Macaca mulatta: one gene and its partners. The main gene of each other region encodes a partner of the protein of the gene in region 2 in a complex. Links are inferred from orthologs where the notes say so. Each region holds a gene or a part of one and is shown on either strand. Other genes may lie near its edges.

Region 1 (4,087 bases), on a different chromosome or scaffold from region 2:
GCTACGTTTAAGATGTAGTAAAGATGAAATATAAAGACACAAACACTTGTTGCCAGTAAGTCTGTGTAATCAAATTATTCATAGTGAAATACACTGAAATGCAAACAAGTCTTCTTTGGTTTGGCAGGTTTTCTTAACTCTTTGTGGAGCTACCTTGTACAACCATTCAAATAACATAAGATTTATTCATTTTGAATACAATGTACTTCTATTTTCCCTAAGAAAGGTACACTTTCTACTACTCAAGCCAATTTTTTTCTAGTTTTCTTTATGTAAGTGTGAAAAAAGAACAGATGTTTTTCCAAAATTATTTAAGCTTGGAAGGCATTCTATCATTTTCCTCAATAAAATACTTCAGAGTCACCCAAAGCATCATGGCAATATCTTAAGAGCTGAGTCCTTTAAAATACAAGTTATTAGTAAGAAATCAGTGTCAGGACACACAGCATTGTTTGATAGATAAAATTTGTAATATAATGGGACGCTGTAAATCATTTGCCACACCAGCTTTATTTTCCACTCTGGACCTTTTCTGTTTGTTAGTTTTTCAATCTAGTTATTCTACAAGCCATGTACAAAGAGGCTTTTAAACTTATCACATTGTATAGCTCATTCCCTACTGCCTAGAATCTTGTAAATCTCTGATGGAATGTTTAACTGGAGTTATCAGCTGGCTTGAACATGCTTCACTATGAAACCTATTAAAATGGTCTTTTTGTAAAAGCAGAGTTTGCTCTGTGTCACTCAAAAGTCCTGCAGATACGAAAATGAGATCCTATGGAATGTTTAAAGATGCAGAGAGCTGTCTTTGAGTTATTTTTTCATTATGCAAAACTTGGCCCAGGAGAGATGGTCCTGTACCTCGTTAGCTAAAACAGTCAGGCGTGTCAGGACTGCAAATTAATTTACCAGAGAAAGCTGAAGTTTATTCAGATCACTCAGGGTTCTAAGGCAGACCTAAGTCTGCTGAACTATTAGGGCAATTTGGTGAGGTCGGAATCTCAGAAATGTTTATCCTTATTGTCTCTTTCCACCTCCCTCGCAGAATACAAACTCCTCCCTAAACTAAGCCTGCATGAACAGCAAATGTTCCATGGGAATCAACATGTATAGGTATAACTCTAAGTTTTCAAAAGTAATAATTGGTACACACTGTGATTCCCCCCAAAAATATCCAATAAATACAAGTAGAGATAATCGAGTATCTACTTTCTCCTTATATTAACTTGTTGTGTTTATGAAGTGGAGGGTTTCGATGGACCTTGTATTATTATGTAACACGTGCCATCCAGCCAATGTGATGTCGTTAGTAGTAGAGTAAGCAGTAACATCCTTGGTTTTATCAATTATGTTATTATCTATTAATTTAAAATGCCGTTCTTTTGGGCGCTCTCCCACATTCTCTGTTAACCTCATGTTCCTGTAGCTTTACTCTCTATACTAACTCTGAGTTAAGTGTTGTATAACAAGTTTCATTAAATTTTTTCCATCCAAGTTATGAAGCCCACTAACATCAGGATTGCACAGTTCTCTCAAAGGCTAGAACAATGCCACAGTGGTTGCATTAGAAGCCAAGAGTAAGGCAAACAATGGGTCCCCGTTTTAAGCAAGATAAGTGTGCTTATCTGTATCTAACCCTGGAAACAAGCAACCACGTCTTGGGAGATGGAGATGCTCCATTAGTAACATTATGCACGTTCCTTAAGGAAAACAAGCAATCTTCTGCCTCATATGTTATGAAAAAATATTTCTTCAAAATCAACAGACTAGTTTTCCATTTATGGATTGTAAATGTCATCCAATTCAGGAAATCAAAAATTCTTCCTTTTTCTATGTGTATTTGCTTATGTTTCACACTTTGATGATGACAAGAACGTCAGGTTTGAAGGGTACCAGCGTGAAGCGCCAGCAGGTAGAGAAATCCGGGAGAGCCACAAAAGCATAGAAAGTATGGGTGATATCAGACGCATTTCATTTCAAGTCTGATGAGCCTGCATTTAGGATTTTCCAGCTGGGCTGGTTTGCCAGGGTTTTTGGGAGACAGGGGGGCTTTTTATTTCTTCTCTCACACTCACACACACGGTCGGACACACACCTGGGACGCATTCAAACTCTACGTACACTAGGTGGCTTATACGAATGTACATGTATATTTAAAAATAATACCTTGACATCTGACAAAGACACGAAGGCAACGTATGTGCAGTGAGTCTGGCTCTGAGAAACGTGCACAGCCCCGCAAGAAGTGCCCGTTAAAATGAAACATTTCTGAGGATGAGGACAGACATGGCAAGCGGGAGGGGCGGGGGCCGACAGACAATACAGAGACCCGAAGCTCCCCACCGCCAGGGCGCCACATGGACCCGGCGCGTCACCCCTGCTTACTGTGGGCTCTTGGGGTAGAAGGGCAGGGTCACATGGCTGAGATCCTGGATGTCGAAGGCGGTGGGCTCGGCGGAGATCGCCTGCCGCTTGGTGCGCGGCTCGCCCTGCAAGGTGCTCGCGCTCTGCTTCTGCGCCTGCTGGGTGGCTGGTCGGATCACCGAGCGGTACTTGTCCAGCTCGTTCTGCAGCTTCTGGATCAGTTCGTCCTTCTGATCCAACTCCAGCTCCAGCTCGTCGATGAGAGCATCCCGCTGCCTCAGCTCCTCGATCTTCTCCTGGAGCGCGTACTGTAAATCCCGCAAGGTGCCCATGCTCCTCCGGGCTGCCGGGGGCTCCTTCCTGCCGCTGCTCCGCGTAGTGGGGCTTCCTCCCCTCTCGGATCAACTTTCCCCAAAGTCGCCGCTGCCTCCCGAGTGCCAAAGCTTCCTACTTGAGACCAAAGCCAGCCCTGGCTTCTGAGCATGCCCAGTCCGCCGGCTTCAGCCACCCAGAGTTTCAGTGCAGATTCCACTTCTCTGGGCTGGCTGTGAGGCTCAGAGTGGGGAGAGCAAACCAGCAGGTCCAACCCGGGATTAAACCTGAGACGCGGTGGGCGCCGCGGCACCGGGTAGAAGAGCCGGGAGGCGCGGTGGCGGGGGAGCGGGAGGAGGGGACGTGAATGGGGGCTCCGAGGCAGCGGCTGGGCTCTCAGGGTCCCTCGCGCCGGGCGCCCAAGGAAGCTTGCGGGGCTTGCGGGGAGCCTGATAAGCCTCCGAGGCGCGCCGGGGGTGTGCGGGCGGAGCGAGGAGGGAGCTCTACTTCGGGGGTGGGGAGGTGGGAGGGAGGGGACAGGGAGGACCCCGGGCAAACTCCGGAGGCCTCAGCTGACTCCAGAGCCGACCAGCCTGGAGAATGTTGGGCTACGATCCTAGCGACGTACGAGGCATAGGGGACTCTGTATCATCAAAGCTCTGAGTTCTGGAGGTATTTTGACGGCCGGCCTCACTAAGGAAAGCTCCCGAGCGGTGTGGCCGAGCTGTCGCTTCTCCCACACCACCTTTCCCACCCGGAGCGCCTCACACAGGTGGCTAATGCTTGCGAAGAAACTTGCCTTTCAGGAGCTGCGAGCGAGTCGGCGCCCGCGAGGAATTTCCCCTTTCAGCCTACTACCTTTGGGAAAGCGTTGTGGGGTAGGGGGTGGGGGTTCTGATTTTATCCCCTCGAGGCGTTGCTACTCTTTACCTGCTCCAGATAGTTACTCTCCTTTCTGCCCCTTCCAAACTCTGATCAGGGAACTCTTTTAAGGCAAAGGCCAAAAACGGATTTGGGCCCTAGCAGGCCATTCAGCTTCCCCATGAGCCCTCCGCCTTGAGCTGGTGCCTGGGAATAGTTCTCTGATGGACCTTGCTTCTTCCATTGGCTAAATTTGGCGGGGAGAGGGTGGGGGTTAAAAATCATTCCCGAGCTCCAAAAAGTTCATCTTGAAACTGAACCATACCTTTAAAAATATTACTTTCCTCACAATCAAGCTGTTAGGAATGTGTATTTCCACTTGAATGGCCAGGAAGACATCCTGACACAAACTTTGAAGAAGAGGGAAAATCGTGAAGGAGCAAGGGAGACTACGCGGGCTGCAGTGAATTGTACACTATACTGCAGTCACCCCCACCTCTACGCACTCCCATCTCCATCCCTGCCCACTCAATATTCCCCAAAATGATCA
Region 2 (3,500 bases):
TCTCACCGAGGCACTCTCCTGAACACAGAGTTTGCTGAGCCGAATCAAAATCTAGTAGAAAGAAAGAAATCAGTCTCAGAAAACTAGGAACTACAGCTGGAAAACAGATTGCAGGGGGTGGTGGTGGGCAGGTAGGCAAAGGGAATAATGCATTAAAAACCTACAACGAAATTCCTTCAGTATGTGGCATTTCTGTTAATTCCATCAAGCCAAATCCATAAGGCTAAGGGCACGTCTTCCAGAATAAGCAGGGGATAATGGCTTCAACAACAAGTGGGACAGTTTCAGAGATATCACTTAAAATGGAATGACCTGGCATCATTGCTGAGACCCTGGGAAGAGTTTGCTCTGGGGTAAAACACACAAAGCTCCCAGCCTCCCAACTTTGAACCAGCTTAAGCAAAGGTTTCCAAAGAACTACAGCTCTCAGTGGGGATGCTGTGTGCCAGGCACTTAGATGACCCCTGACAGTTTTCTCAATTAGTCCTTCCTTCAATTGTAAAGCTTCAGAAATATGTGGTGCCTATAAAAGGTAGCACCTATAAACAGTGAGGAAGCTGAGGACACAAATAAGAAGAAGAACACAGCTGGGTGTGGAGCCCAGATCTGATGCCGAAATCCATGAGCTTAACCTCTGAGCTCTACTTTCTCCCTGTTAAACCACACGAAGAAAAAAGCTCAAATGTGTGTACCTTCAACTTGACTATCACAAATGAAAGCCCCTTAGAGAATTCATAAAGAAGGGAAATACGGTGGTGGGGGAGGAGCTTACCTCTTTGACCACTCTGTAGTTGTAGCTGCTGGTGCTTTCATGCTTTTGTGACTTGTTATTTCCCTCCTAGGAACCAAAGTGAACACAAGTGTGATCTGTACGACTCATGGGCTACTGTCAGTTTGTTACAGCTAGCATCAATCTTTATGAAAGAAAGGGAGTTCTGCACTGTTTTCCAATAGTCATGCTGGGTTTATGCCCCACTCATCTACCTACTTGCTATGGGTTTCCTTGGGAGGGGATAGTGGGCTGGGCCACGGCTAGAGAACAGGTCAATTCCCAAGTGGGTCTGTAAGGGAAACCTGGTGCTAATTCACTCAACGTCAAAGTCTCTTCTACACAGTCTGAGGCTGCACAGGAGACATAGCTAAACTCTGATTCATAGCTTATTTCCTAGGCCAACAGCTGTGATCTTAGCGACTTAACAAGCAGATCTCTTGAAAATAAATCCCATTCTATCACATTTATACCTAAAACCAGAGGAGGATGCTTGCTAGTTTTGAGAAGCCCATCCACCTACTTTGGCAGCCTAACCTGTGTTTCACTCACCTCCGTTTTCTTATGTCCATTTTCGCCAGATGCACCATCCATGGTTTCATCGGGGCCCTGCCCTTTGTACACCCAAAGCTCTGACTTTTCCACGATGGACCTCAGTTGATCCAAGTCTTGTTTGATCTGTTTGTAGTTGTCCACATCTTGGCTGGTAACCAGCAGTTGAACCTTAATGAATGCAATCCATTAGGTGCACACAACAGCTTCTTGGACAGACAACACACACGTGGGTGACCTGAGCTACCTGTTTGAAGGCCTGGAGCACCTCCTGCCTCTGGCTGAAGTGTCGGAAGAGGAGCTGCAGGGCCCCTGACACCAGGGGTGGATAGTCATGCATCGTCAGGTGGAGCAAGACACGGAGAAAGGTTCTGCCGCCGTGATCGTCCAAGTCCAGTGGGGTGTTCTCCTCGCTAAAGGAGCACAGGGAGGGGGAAAGACCAGATGAATCACAAATGCCTCCTCTCACGTACCTTGGACCCAGATGCCCCTAACCTGGTTAGATTTCTAGCACTATGATCTCCAGACAAGCAATTTCACTTTTCATTAGCTCCTTTAACAATACCGCCTTGCTTCATCTTCAACTATATTGTGAGGTGAGGAGACAAGTAAGATGTCATCATAAAAGATAAGTCAAATTTTAAGCCAAAGTCCCTCCCCTCCCAAAGTGACAAGACTAGCATCAGAACCAGATTCTCAACATCTACATAGGGTGTTCTGCTGGGCTTCATCTGTGGTGTGAGAACTGCAAGAGGATGTGTTTCTCTTATTAGTTTATGTAATTTTATTTTTAGAGATGAGGTCTCGCTATGTTGCCCAGGCGAAATTCAAACTCCTATGCTCAAACCATCCTCCTGCCTTAGCATGCTGAGCAGTTGGGTCTGTAGGTATGCACCACCATGCTTGACTATATTAAATATTAATAAGCATATCCTAGATCCAATGGCAGAGTACTCCATAACTGAGCACTGCCAGTCAATTACTGGGTCTGCATCTACATTGGGTTTAGAGGCAAATGAATGACAAATGGTGGAATCTTCATGGTTGCTGGCTAATAAGAAAAGCACAGAGAGGACTTTATAAATACTGTATTCATGCTGTGTATTCCAAAAAGGTGTGAAGGTTTCAGTGCTGTTTAATATGAGGAAAATGGCGGGAGAGCTGAGTGATCACACAGCACATGGAACCTGTATTAAGATAAACTCACAACACCTTGTTTAAATTTCAGATAAACATCTTCCATCACAGTATACAACGTTGCTAATTCAAATTTCACAGGTTTTACATTAAGCTTGAAGGTAGACTATTAACACTGGTGGGCCCCAACAAAGTATTCAAACCCTTATGTAGTCCCCTCCCACACTGACACTGAACTTGGCCACGGGATTTGCTTGAACAATAAGATACTAGGAAATGCAATGCAAGCAGAGGCCCAATTAGCACTTGCATACTGTTGGCTTGTCCTCTTAGAACATTTGCTCTTTGAGTCAGCCACCATGCTGTAAAGAAGCCCAAGTTATCCACATGGACAGAGAGAGAAAGAAGTCCTGGCCTTGCAGGCATTTCTGCTATAGTGTCAGAAATGTGAGTGCAACTTGGATGTGCCAGCCCCAGTTACCACCTCACTACAGTGTGACAGACCCAACAGTGACTACCAGCAGAAGAACCATCCAGTTTAATCAAGCCACAGGGCCGTGAGAGGTATTAATAAAATGGTGGTTGTTTGAATCCTTAAGTTTTTTGGAGTAATATGTTATAAAGCAATAATCAAACCAAGTGTGCTAATTATAAGAACTACATGCACAGGGTGTTTATACCAAATTTTATACCTGTAGGTATAAGGGTTCCATAATTATAATAATGTCTTAAGTCAAAATTGACCAGTGTGGTATTTTTTAAAGGGATTCATAGATTAATATTAGAAATCATGAAAGAACAACAGATTTTGCTTTTTTTGTTGCATAGCCTGTAAGGAGCTCAGGGATAAAATTACAGCCCAACAGCAGGACATGATCTTACTAACTTCACTCTGTTTTGAGCCCCTCTCTCTTTCTATTCTTTCTTTTGATTGCATTTCCTCACTATGTAAAAATAATCTTGTAATGTAGGTATTCTGGGAAATCTCCTTAAATCCTTTCTGTCCTAGGTGGGACACACACACACACACACACACACACAC
Region 3 (4,221 bases), on a different chromosome or scaffold from region 2:
TTTTGTTTTGTTGAGTTTTACATTTTGACATTCAGGTCTATGATCCACTTTGAATTAATTATGTTGTGTGCTGTGTGGAAGGGGATCGCATAATGTGGACATACAGTTGAATTTGTTAAAGACTATTCTTTCCCTATTTTATTGTCTTGACACCCTTGCTAAAAACCAATTGACCATAAATATAAAGGTTTATTTCTGGGTTTACAATTCTATTCTATTGATCCACATGTCGACACTTATGCCACTATCACATTGTTTTGTTTTTGTTTTTGAGAGGGAGTATCGCCCAGACTGGAGTGCAGTGGTGCAAGCTTGGCTCACTGCAACCTCTGTCACCCAGGTTCAAGTGGTTTTCCTGCCTCAGCCTCCCAAGTAGCTGGAATTACAGGCGCCCACCACCACACCCGGCTCATTTTTGTATTTTTAGTGGAGACGGGGTTTCGCCATGTTGGCCAGGCTGGTCTTGAACTCCTGGACTCAAGGGATCAGTCCACCTTGGCCTCCCAAAATGCTGGGATTACAGGCGTGACCCACCATGCCCTGCCTACCACATTGTTTTTGATAACTATAGCTTTGTGGTAAGTTTTGAAATCAGGAGGTGCGAGTCTTCCAACTTTGTTCTTTTTTTTTTTTTTTTCAAAATTGTTTTGGCTGTTCTCACTTCCCCACAATTTCATATGAATTTTAGAATCAGCTGTTAATTTCTGCAAAAAAGCCAGCTGGGATCCAAACAGGGATGGTGTTGAATCTGTAGATCAATTTGAGAATTACTGCTGTCTTCTGATCCATGAACATGGGATATCTACTTGTTTGATTCTTCTTTTTTTTTTTTTTTTTTTGAGATGGAGTCTCGCTCTGTCGCCCAGGCTGGAGTGCAGTGGCCGGATCTCAGCTCATGCAAGCTCCGCCTCCCGGGTTTACGCCATTCTCCTGCCTCAGCCTCCCGAGTAGCTGGAACTACAGGCGCCCGCCACCTCGCCCGGCTAGTTTTTTTTTGTATTTTTTAATAGAGACGGGGTTTCACCGTGTTAGCCAGGATGGTCTCGATCTCCTGACCTCGTGATCCGCCCGTCTCGGCCTCCCAAAGTGCTGGGATTACAGGCTTGAGCCACTGCGCCCGGCCTCTTTTATTGTTTTTTAGAGATGGGGTCTTACTCTGTCACCCAGGCTGGAGTGCAGTGATACAATCACAGCTCACTGCAGCCCAAAACTACTGAGCTCAAGTGATCCTCCTACCTCAGCCTCCCAAGTAGCTGCGACTACAGGCATATGCTACCATGCCCACCTAAGTTTTAAATTTTTTGTAAAGGTGGGGTATCACTGTGCTGTCCAGGCTGGTTTTAAACTTCTGGGTCAAGCAATCCTCCCACCTCAGCCTCTTAAAGTGCTGGGATTACAGGCATGGGTCACCATGCCCGGTATGGAATTATTTTTCTTAATTTCATTTTTGCATTATTTATGGCTAGTGTATAGAAATATATTTTTATATGTCAATCATGTGTCCTATAACTTGCTGAACTTGTTTATTAGTTCTAATAGTTTTTTATTAGATTACTTGGGATTTTCTATATACCAGATCATGTCATGTCCAAGTTGAGACAGTTTTATCTTTTCCTTTTCAATCTGGATGCCTTTTGTTTTTATTTTATTGTTTTCTTTTTACACATTTTTTAGAGACACAGTTACCCTGTATCAAGCGCATTGGCATGATCATGGCTCACTGTAGCCTTGACCTCCTGGGCTCAAGCGATCCTCCCACCTCACCTTCCCAAGTAGCTGAGACTACAGGTGCATGTCACCATGCCTGGCTAATTTTTTTTTTTTTTTTTTGAGATGGAGTCTCGCTCTGTCACCCAGGCTGGAGTGCAGTGGTGTGATCTCAGCTCACTGCAACCCCACCTCCCAGGTTCATGCCATTCTGCCTCAGCCTCCTGAGTAGCTGGGACTACAGGCGGCCACCACCGCACCCAGCTAATTTTTTGTATTTTTAGTAGAGACAGGGTTTCATTGTGTTGGCCAGGATGGTCTCAATCTCCTGACCTCGCGATCCGCCCGCCTCAGCCTCCCAAAGTGCTGGGATTACAGGCATGAGCCACTGCACCCAGCCAACGCTTGGCTAATTTTAAAACTTTTTGTAGACACAGAGTCTCGCTGTGTTGCCCAGGCTGGTATTGAACTCCTGACCTCAAGCAATCCTTCTGCTTCAGCCTCCCAAAATGCTGGGATTACAGGCAATAGCCACCACATCTGGGGCCTTTAATTTCTTTTTCTTACTTAAGTGCCCCTTCTGGAACCTCCAGGAAAATCCTGGACAGACATGGTGAATGGACATTCCTGTCTCGTTCATCTTTTTTTTTTTTTTTAATTAAGACGCAGCCTCACTCTTGTTGCCCAGGCTGGGGTGCAATGGCATGACCCTGGCTCACTGCAACCTCCATCTCCCCGGTTCAAGCAATTCTCTTGCCTCAGCCTCCTGAGTAGCTGGGATTACAGGTACCCACCACCACGCTAAGCTAATTTTCTGTATTTTCAGTAGAGACAGGGTTTCACCATGTTGGCCAAGCTGGTGTCAAACTCCTGACCTCAGGTGATCCACCCACTTTGGCCTCCCAAAGTGCTGGGATTACAGGTGTGAGCTACTACGCCCGGCCTTGTTCCTCATCTTAAGAGGGAAAAGCATCTAGTATTTCAACATTAAGTATGATATCAGCTGTGGGTTGTTTGTTTTTGAGACGGAGTCTTGCACTGTCGCCCAGGCTGGTATGCAGTGGTGCACAATCTCGGCTCACTGCAACCTCAGCCTCCCAGGTTCAAGTGATTCTCAGCCTCCGGAGTAGCTAGGATTACAGACACCCACCACCATGCCAATTTTTTTTTTTTTTTTTTTTTTTTTTTGGTATTTTTGTAGACACGGGGTTTCACTATGTTGGCTAGGCTGGTCTCGACCTCTTGACCTCGTGATCTGCCCACCTCAAATTCCCAAAGTGCTGGAGCTGTGGGTTTTTTATGATGCCCTTTCTCAGGCTGAGGAAGTTCCTTCACATTTCTAGTTTGATGAGTATTCTCATCAGAAAGTAGATTGGATTTCCCAGCACTTTGGGAGGCTGAGGCAGGCGGATTACTTGAGGTCAGGAGTTGAGACCAGCCTGGCCAACATGGCAAAACCTCATGTTTACTAAAAATCCAACAATTAGCAGAGCATGGTGGTTGGTACATGCCTGTAGTTCCAGCTACTTGGGAGGCTGGGCGAGGAGAATCATTTGAACCCAGGAGGCGGAGGTTGCAGTGAGCTGAGATCGTGCCACTGAACCTCAGCCTGCACAACAGAGGGAGACTCTGCCTCAAAAAAAAAAAGTATATCGGATTTTGTCAATGTTTTTCCGCTTGTATTGAGATAATCATGTGGTTTTTATCCTTTATTCTAATTCTAATGTAGTATATTAATTGATGTTCACATATTAAACTAACCTTGCATTTCTGGTATAAACTCCACTAGGTCATGGTGTGTAATTCTTTTTCCATGCTGTTGGATTTTATCTGCTAGTATTTTGTTGAGGAATTTTATGTCTATATTCATATGATATACTGACTGCTAGTAAAGAGGGAAAATGTGTGAAAATCAATAAATTTAAAAAATTAAAAAAGAAACATTAAACCGGGTGCAGCAGCTCACACCTGTAATCCCAGCACTCTGGGAGGCCAAGACAGATGGATCACTTGAGGTCAGAAGTTTGAAACCGGCCTGGCCGCCGGGCGCGGTGGCTCACGCCTGTAATCCCAGCACTTTGGGAGGCCGAGGCGGGCGGATCACAAGGTCAGGAGATCGAGACCATGGTGAAACCCCGTCTCTACTAAAAATACAAAAAATTAGCCGGGCGCGGTTGTGGGCGCCTGTAGTCCCAGCTACTCGGGAGGCTGAGGCAGGAGAATGGCGTGAACCCGGGAGGCGGAGCTTGCAGTGAGCCGAGATCGCGCCACTGCACTCTAGCCTGGGCTGGGCGACAGAGCGAGACTCCATCTCAAAAAAAAAAAAAAAAAAAAAAGAAAGTCAGAATCCACTGAATGTGTACCAACTCACCTGCTAAAAAACAAAACAAAACAAAAAAAACAAATTATTGGCCCTATCCCAGACCTATTGAATTGGAATCTGCTTTTTTTTTTTCCAGATGGTCTTGCTCTGTCGCCCCGGTTGGAGTGCAGTGGCGTGATCTAGGTTCACTG

What was found. Proteins that work in one complex are often made in the same cells at the same time.
Region 1: ITPR1 (region 2) and PRKG1 share a complex: the UniProt entries of both Homo sapiens proteins name them as parts of the cGMP kinase signaling complex. The link is inferred for Macaca mulatta from reciprocal best matches to the Homo sapiens genes ITPR1 and PRKG1.
Region 3: ITPR1 (region 2) and CNN1 share a complex: the UniProt entries of both Homo sapiens proteins name them as parts of the cGMP kinase signaling complex. The link is inferred for Macaca mulatta from reciprocal best matches to the Homo sapiens genes ITPR1 and CNN1.

Annotation. Positions count from the first base shown.
Region 1 is NC_133414.1:98,704,092-98,708,178, forward strand, and holds the start of PRKG1 (cGMP-dependent protein kinase 1), read right to left. Parts: upstream 2,801-4,087; 5' UTR 2,697-2,800; coding exon 2,386-2,696; intron 1-2,385. UniProt on the Homo sapiens protein: Serine/threonine protein kinase that acts as a key mediator of the nitric oxide (NO)/cGMP signaling pathway. GMP binding activates PRKG1, which phosphorylates serines and threonines on many cellular proteins.
Region 2 is NC_133407.1:143,424,374-143,427,873, reverse strand, and holds part of ITPR1 (inositol 1,4,5-trisphosphate-gated calcium channel ITPR1), read right to left. Parts: intron 1,731-3,500; coding exon 1,569-1,730; intron 1,493-1,568; coding exon 1,322-1,492; intron 839-1,321; coding exon 773-838; intron 52-772; coding exon 1-51. UniProt on the Homo sapiens protein: Inositol 1,4,5-trisphosphate-gated calcium channel that, upon inositol 1,4,5-trisphosphate binding, mediates calcium release from the endoplasmic reticulum (ER).
Region 3 is NC_133424.1:12,262,000-12,266,220, forward strand, and holds the start of CNN1 (calponin-1), read left to right. Parts: upstream 1-1,421; 5' UTR 1,422-1,689; exon of another isoform or gene 1,690-1,698; intron 1,699-4,221. UniProt on the Homo sapiens protein: Thin filament-associated protein that is implicated in the regulation and modulation of smooth muscle contraction. It is capable of binding to actin, calmodulin and tropomyosin. The interaction of calponin with actin inhibits the actomyosin Mg-ATPase activity.